2 linked regions of the Callithrix jacchus genome follow. The protein of the gene in region 1 purifies or fractionates together with the protein of each later gene. This does not show direct contact. Links are inferred from orthologs where the notes say so. Each region holds a gene or a part of one and is shown on either strand. Other genes may lie near its edges. The genes, in order: SLC22A5 and YIPF3.

What was found.
Region 2: the proteins of SLC22A5 (region 1) and YIPF3 purify together in Homo sapiens (co-immunoprecipitation; 3 studies listed by BioGRID and IntAct, counting the BioPlex papers as one, with this or other methods). This does not show direct contact. The link is inferred for Callithrix jacchus from reciprocal best matches to the Homo sapiens genes SLC22A5 and YIPF3.

The regions. Positions count from the first base shown.
Region 1 is NC_133503.1:76,088,173-76,092,085, reverse strand, and holds the start of SLC22A5 (organic cation/carnitine transporter 2), read left to right. Parts: upstream 1-1,228; 5' UTR 1,229-1,414; coding exon 1,415-1,807; intron 1,808-3,913. UniProt on the Homo sapiens protein: Sodium-ion dependent, high affinity carnitine transporter. Involved in the active cellular uptake of carnitine. Transports one sodium ion with one molecule of carnitine.
Region 2 is NC_133505.1:51,997,190-52,001,102, reverse strand, and holds the start of YIPF3 (protein YIPF3), read left to right. Parts: upstream 1-1,321; 5' UTR 1,322-1,443; coding exon 1,444-1,524; intron 1,525-2,062; exon of another isoform or gene 2,063-2,157; coding exon 2,158-2,367; intron 2,368-2,538; coding exon 2,539-2,645; intron 2,646-3,913. Other genes in the region: POLR1C (DNA-directed RNA polymerases I and III subunit RPAC1), read right to left, coding at 871-942, 1,070-1,138. UniProt on the Homo sapiens protein: Involved in the maintenance of the Golgi structure. May play a role in hematopoiesis.

The sequences.
Region 1 (3,913 bases):
TGTCATTGCACTCTAGCCTGGGCAACAGAGTGGGGCCATGTCTCCAATAAATAAATGAATAAATATTAAAAAACAAAATTGTGGCTAGTCCAAATTTAAAGGTGCTGTAAAGTGCATACCGGATTCTTTTTTTCAAATCCTGAGAACATGTGAAACACACTGAATTCTTAAGATTTAGTAAGGGGAGGAAATAAAAGATCAATGATTCTTATATATCAATGTAAAAGATCAATAATTTCTACATTGATTATATGATGAAATTATGTTCTGGATATATTGATTAAATATACTATTAAAGTTAATTTCATCCTTTACTTTTACTTTTTAAATATGCAGCATTGCCAGATAAAATACAAGACAACCAGTTACATTTTCATTTTATATATTCCTTCATGGGACATAATATTTAAAAATTATTCATTCTATATCTGAAATTCGAATTTCAGTAGGAGTCCTATATTTTTATTTGCTAAATCTGAAAATTTTATTAATATGGCTAGTAGAAAAATTAACAACAAATATAGCTCCTTATCCTATTGAACATTGCTGCTTTAGAATCACCTCGCTGCTTTTTGTTGTTGTTCCTATTAGTTCCCGAACAAACTCTTCGCAGAAATAACTAACCTGTGGAGAATATTTAACCTTAGGCTAGGATCATTAATCGTGATGTTAAATTTTCATATCGGCATAAATAAAATGGCTTGTTACCGACGAAAATATAGAAAGGGCATCTGGACTAGAATGAAAAGTCATAGCTCCAAGCCTCTCTAGTGGGGCAGTTAACAGTCCCAGTTCCCCTTATAAGGATAGGTGGTGTCAACAGCAACTATCTGTGAGAGCCTAGACCAGTCACTTTCTCCCCGTCCCCACCCCCACCCCGCGTAGGCCTCGCCGAAAGCTGGGAGAGGTGCGTTTTCAGCACTGGAGCCTCGCGGCCGCTCTCCCACTCACTCCCGACCCCGCGCTGGAGGAACGAGTTCGGACTCGCACCCCAAGACCGCGAGTCTCGCTGCCTTCCTAAGCCGAGCCCGGGCTATCTCGGTCAACCCTTACTGCCTTGGCTGGTGGAGGCCGGGCCGCCGCCAGGCCCCCGGGACAGACCCCGCCTGGGCCTCAAGTGCACCCGGCCCGCCCCGCGCCCTTACGTCCCGCCCCAGCTCCGCCCTCGCCAGCCCCACACTGCCTGCCGGCAGGGCGGGCCTTACCGCCCAGGCCCGGAACCCTCCCTGGCAGAGCGCCCCATGTAAGGCAGGACCGCAGCGGCGGTATCAGCTCACAAGCCTACCCTCGGCGGACGGTATCCGGTCGCTAGCTGCTTGGCTCGCCTGGTCGGCGGCGTGTGCCCCGCGCGCACGCGCAAAACCCGCCGCGTCCTCAGACCCCGGGCCGCGAGCTGTGGGCCGCAGAGGGCGGCATGCGGGACTACGACGAGGTGACCGCCTTCCTGGGCGAGTGGGGGCCCTTCCAGCGCCTCATCTTCTTCCTGCTCAGCGCCAGCATCATCCCCAATGGCTTCACCGGCCTGTCCTCCGTGTTCCTGATAGGGACCCCGGCGCACCGCTGCCGGGTGCCGGACGCCGCTAACCTGAGCAGCGCCTGGCGCAACCACAGTGTCCCGCTGCGGCTGCAGGACGGCCGCGAGGTGCCCCACAGCTGCCGCCGCTACCGGCTCGCCACCATCGCCAACTTCTCGGCGCTCGGGCTGGAGCCGGGGCGCGACGTGGACCTGGGGCAGCTGGAGCTGGAGAGCTGCCTGGATGGCTGGGAGTTCAGCCAGGACGTCTACCTGTCCACCATCGTGACCGAGGTGGGTGCCAGCCCCCGCCCGGGCTGAGACTGGGGCACGGAGGGGATCGTCCGGCCCTTGAACCCGAGCTCCTCTCTCCCAGATGCACGCTGGACGCCGCCACTCCCCCTCCCCCACAGTCAACACCCTAGTGATGGAGACCCACCAGCCAGGTGGCTTGGGAACGCTTTTCGAGGGGACCTCCAGCCAGAGTGTGCTCCTCACAGCAGATTGTCAGCCTGGCCTCCCATCCTGATGGCCACTTTGAAGAGGGTACTAGGAAGGTCCTGGCGGTCCGTGGAAGATGCCCTATGGCCATGAGTGTCCAGGACTTCCTCTAGTTGGGGTTGGGGGTGGTGAGGAGCACAGCCAGGGCTTGGGTCAGGGGCTATCCCGTTTTTCCTCTAGTCTCTTGGCTTCTTTTTAGAAGAGAGGAAATACTTCTCTTTCCTGAACTTTTTTTTTTTTTGAGACGGAGTTTCGCTCTTGTTACCCAGGTTGGAGTGCAATGGCATGATCTTGGTTCACCGCAACCTCCGCCTCCTGGGTTCAGGCAATTCTCCTGCCTCAGCCTCCTGAGTAGCTGGGATTACAGGCACGCGCCACCGTGCCCAGCTAATTTTTTGTATTTTTAGTAGAGACGGGGTTTCACCATGTTGACCAGGATGGTCTCGATCTGTTGACCTCGTGATCCACCCGCCTCGGCCTCCCAAAGTGCTGGAAAATAAAGCATGTGTATAAAGCTGCCTCTTCCCGATTTCCTCTAATTACTCTTTCCCCTATCGTCTCCACAACCCAAAATGACAGTCTGGTCATGCCCTGTGTTTGCCTTTTCCCATGGTCAGTTGTCATTTAAGATCCATTCATCTGAAGATCTGTTCAGGGTAACTTGGTGACCTGGAATGTTTTCTAAGGTATTCTGAGGCAAGGCTGTTGGCCAGACTTAGTTAAAGTATACAATCTTAGGTCACAGAGAGTCGGGGAACCTTTCTCATTTCTCAGCCCCTTGGATTTTCCTTCTGGGTGGTTTTGTCCCCTCCGAACCTGTTGGAGCAGTTGTTGGAGCTGGATGTAAGAACATGATGTTAATGACGCATGTGTTTTGTGTCTTTCTCAGACACTGGCACTCTAGCTCCCTGAAGTTTTAGCAGCATTGAATAAGCAGCCAGTGAAGAGCCCTCTTTGATAGATGGGATCACTGAATGTGCAGATAAGGAATTCACAGGTCAGAGAAGGCTTCCGGGAGGAGGAGGCCTCTCAGCGAGTCTAAGGTGTTCAGCTCAGCAGAATAGTAAGCTGAAGGTCTAGATGCAACAACAAAAACCACATAGTAGGAGGGCAGAGTTTACAGAGAGGGGAGAGTTCATAGAGAGGGAGAGTGCTATAGGCCTTGGCACGGCTTCACACCCTGCTGGATGTGGGTGCTGAGCCTCTCTCCTGGAGCCTCAGAAGGGCTTACAGGGGCTCTGGAGGTCTCAACTGTGTTGCTTCTTGACGTCATCACCCTTCAAGGGAGTCTGAGAGCTACCCTGGGAGACTTGAGTGTGTGTGCATGCGCATGTTTTTTCTGTTTGGAAGTTTGATGTCCCCAGCACCTGGACCTGCTTTCTCCACATGTATTTAGTGGGAGTGTGACCTGAGCCCCACTGAGATTTCTTAGCTAGCGACATAGCCTCAGTGATCAGAAGCTTCATGACTTGACAAAAGAGGCACTCACTGGAGGTAGCCAACTGTGCTTTCAGGCCCATGAATCCACAGAGAATTGGAACCTTCAGTTGCCATAAATCCTGAGTCCTAGCCTCACAGGTTGGGTCTGTTACCTTCCTAGAAGCCAGTGAGTACTGTGAAAGCAGAGGCTGTCCCTGGGGTTGCAGGCAGAGGACAAAGAGGGGAACATGATATAGGAATCCCTACAAATTCTACTTGGGGCTGCCTAAAGCAGAGGGAGGTAGTAAAGTGAGAAGAAGCTCATAGCATCTCTTGGAGTTTTACATTGACCCTTGAGGCCTTACTTAGTCATTTGTTCTTGCTTTGCTGCCCCCACCCCATGTTGGAATGAGTGGTGGTGGCATTGATGAGCTCCCAAAGGCCAGCTGTGCCAGGGGGTCTGCCCTTACCTTGCTGCCA
Region 2 (3,913 bases), on another chromosome or scaffold:
CAACCTCAGCTTCCCTTACAACAGATCTGCCTGCTCCATACGATCCTCTTCAAACTCATTCCCTCCCAGCTATCAGGGTTGCAAATCTAATCATGTCTGCTTAACTATTCAAGCTCCCTATCATCAACAGTGCCCAAGACACACTTCAATCTTGCCTACCACTAGTGCCAGAACTGCTTGGACATTCCCGGAGCACAATTCACACCATAACTTTTTTTCAAGCATTAGCCTTTTTCATTGTTCATACTTTATTCCTGTATCAACAGGTTAAAAAAAGTAAAATTTTCCCAAGCACAGATTTATAGATCATGTTTTATAAACTGCACACACAGTTCAGTTGCATAAACAGTAACATTCAGTGATCTATTTAAATGCAATTTTAATCCTTATTTTAAGCTAAGTGAAACAATAATAGACTAAATACACACAAAACCTGTATATCCTCAACTTCACTGACCTGAAACTCAAAGCCTTCCTAATTTAACTCCTGTTCTTTACTTACCGTTCAAAGCTCAATTCAGATCTTCCCTCCTCAAGAAATGTTAAGTACCTCTGGGCCCCTCTTCCTGGTCTCAGCATAATGTTCCCCACACGAATCCTGCCATCTTCACAGCTATCAACCACCTTTACCATATTAAACTAGATTCACTTGTTTATACGCACCATTCCTCAACAAGACTGAACATCTTGTTTGCAGAACTGGGTAGAAACTGTGTCTAACTTGGCCTGTAAACGGAGGTCTACCACATTGCTCAACAAAACTTACAAACGGAGCGACCCCCAAGAGCAGCTACTGAGACAGACACATGCTGCTGAGACCACAGGGTCTGGCCCTCCTAACAATCCCCGGACAACTCTGGCCCCACTGACCTTCTCGAAGCGTTCCTGGTCCCAGGCATCATCATAACCGGAATAGTTACCGGGAAAGTCAGTGGTATGGACCTAGAGCAAAGGGATGAGTTTGTCCACAAATGGACAGTGAGCCTACGGCTATCCCCACGCCAATCCCAAGACCCATCCCTGTTCCGCTCTCATTCCTCCCGCCTGAGCTCAAGGACACAAGTCTTACATTGCGAACCCCAAACTCTCCTAGAACCACGCGGCTCCGCATTTCTTCCACGGCCTGAGTAGCCGCCATGTTCAATCTCTCCAAAAGACTACAGGCTCTAGCTGGCGCGTGCGTTCTAGCAGCACTGCTCCATCTCCGTGGCAACGCACCGCCTCCTGGAATCTTAAATATCGCGAGACTTTGCTCCACCTTCATCCACGTCCCCAATTTCCGGAAGTTGGTTTTGTCCAAACATCCGGGTTTCTCCTTTTTGTGTTCCGGCTGATCCCACCTCTCCGCGACCTGGGACCTCTCCCTTCTTGGGACTCACATCTCGCACACTTCCCTGCGCGCGGGGCTATCGCGGGCTTCAGCGACGGGAGCCCTCAAAGGGCATGGCAACTACAGCGGCGCCGACGGGCGGCGCCCGAAACGGAGCTGGCCCGGAATGGGGAGGGTTCGAAGAAAACATCCAGGTAATGGCCCCAAGGCACCAGATGCCAGCAACCCGAGGGCCGGCGATGTCCAGAAGTGTCTTGGGGATTCTCCCTCGGGGCCTGGAAGTTCACTCCATTTGCAAAACTGCCTTCTTTGGGTCTTGCACACAAAAGTCAGTGGAGTTAACATTGACCTGAAAGGGCCAGACTAGTCTACTACTCCAGCCTGAGGATCTCGGGTCTCTGGGCCCGCCCGAGGCGTTAGGAAGAACGTATTCTTGGAACAAGTTAGGAGGTTGGTTGGGGTCAGGCCTGGAGTGGGGTTGGGTGGGATTCACTGGCACTCGCCGAAAACATACTGTGTTCATAGTTTTGTTTGGGGCTTTGGAAAGACAGAAATGGATTCTTTTTCAAGCTTTTAGTCTTTGATAGGTAAGGTAGGAGAAAGACATGAATGGAAGACTAGTTGGTTTCCCAGGCTAGAAAAGATAGCCAAAGCTATAAATCAAGCGTTCTGAGAGCAAATGAGGGGGAATGGAGTGGCATGATCTGTAGTGATTCCAAGCCGTATCCTCAGCAGTGGAAGAACAAAGCCCTAAGCCCTGGGATGAGCAGAGGACTTAATGGATGGAACAGAAAAGTCCTGCACTCTAGGAGCCATTGTCTTAACAGGGCGGAGGCTCAGCTGTGATTGACATGGAGAACATGGATGATACCTCAGGCTCTAGCTTCGAGGATATGGGTGAACTGCATCAGCGCCTGCGCGAGGAAGAAGTAGACGCTGATGCAGACGCTGATGCGGCTGCTGCTGAAGAAGAGGATGGAGAGTTCCTGGGCATGAAGGGCTTTAAGGGACAGCTGAGCCGGCAGGTGGCTGATCAGGTAAGCAAGATGGAATCCCCTGCAGGTGGAAAAGTAAACCTAGGTGTGTCCCATGTCCTGGAGTTGGTATTGGTGTGTCGCCCCAGGTTGTCCTGGTAGAAATCAAATGGAAAATAGGCAACAGGGTCTAATGCCAAGAGTTCCACAATACCTATGCCCATCTTCCTTCAGATGTGGCAGGCTGGGAAGAGACAAGCCTCCAGGGCCTTCAGCTTGTATGCCAACATCGACATCCTGAGACCCTACTTTGATGTGGAGCCTGCCCAGGTGCGAAGCAGGTGAGGAGCCTTCTCTTGAAGAAGCTTCCCTCCTAATACCTACTCCTTCATGCACTCTACAAGCCCTGTGCTCTGGTGGGCTCCCCCTCTTCGTGACCTCATCACCTCTCATCACTGCACCTGTCATTGAACACAAATAATCATAACACAGCGCCTTCCTCCTCTTTTCCATCTAGCCGACTACTCATCTTCCCTCAAAACCTACCTCAGATGTCACTTCCCCTATTCCACATTCCTCAATCCCATCCCCAGTTTGTTCTCTCCTGGTATTCCTATAGAACACTTGCCTCCAACAGACAGCACTTCAGCACTGCCATCCTTTCATATTGCTGGAATTTTCCCCCCAGAGCAGGCTCTATCTTGTTTATCTTTTTATTCCCAGCACCAGAACAGTCTCTGAACCAGAATATCAGGGCATAGTTTTTGAGTGACTTTTCAAGAACTAGATATAATCCTGGCTTGTTTTGTTTGTTGTTGTTCATCCTTTAATCAGTGCTAAGCAAATACCCAGGACCACTCAGCAAGTATTTATTAAGCATTTGCTCTGTGGCAGACCCTATGCTAATTGTATCCGGTTCGGTGGTGAAGATGGATGGGAGCCTTGCTCTTGAGTACAGTTATAGTACAGTCCTCATGCTATGATGGGGTACACGGGATCGATATGTGAGCCATAGCAGGTTGGTGGGTGGGACGGGGCAGGTTTCCCAAAGGAAGTAAAATCTAGCTAAAATCCAAGGTATGATTAGGAGCTAGCCACCTTGGCAGGGACGGGGGTGGGGAGCGGTGACTGAATTTTCTTACTACTCCACATATGTTTTTCAAGAAAATGCTCGACAGTGCCTGGAGGCACTCTTACTGTTCCCTCAGTAACACCTTTCATTCTAAACCTTCCATCTAGCTGACTAGACCTTTTCTAGGGCTTCCCCATTACAGTCTAATACTCTGGGTACTCTCTGCTGAGGTCTGCCTGTCTTTTCAAGGGGAGACGGGGTGACAGATACATGGTCAGGCCCTCTCTGAAGGCCCAGCAGGGCTGAGTTCTGCACATAGCTGCTGTTTCAGTCAGCTAAGTTTCAGAGGGTTAACCTTCCTGGAAGTAATTTTAGGGGCAAGGAAATGATTTCCTCATTCCCTGTATATCTTTACTACCCTGTTCTCCCCTGTCATCTAACATGTCCTCTAGGCCAGGCCCCAATCCCTGGAGTTAGAGATGAGTAAGATTCAGGCCTTGCCCTCCAGAACTTCATGGCCTAGTGCTGTCTCTGCTT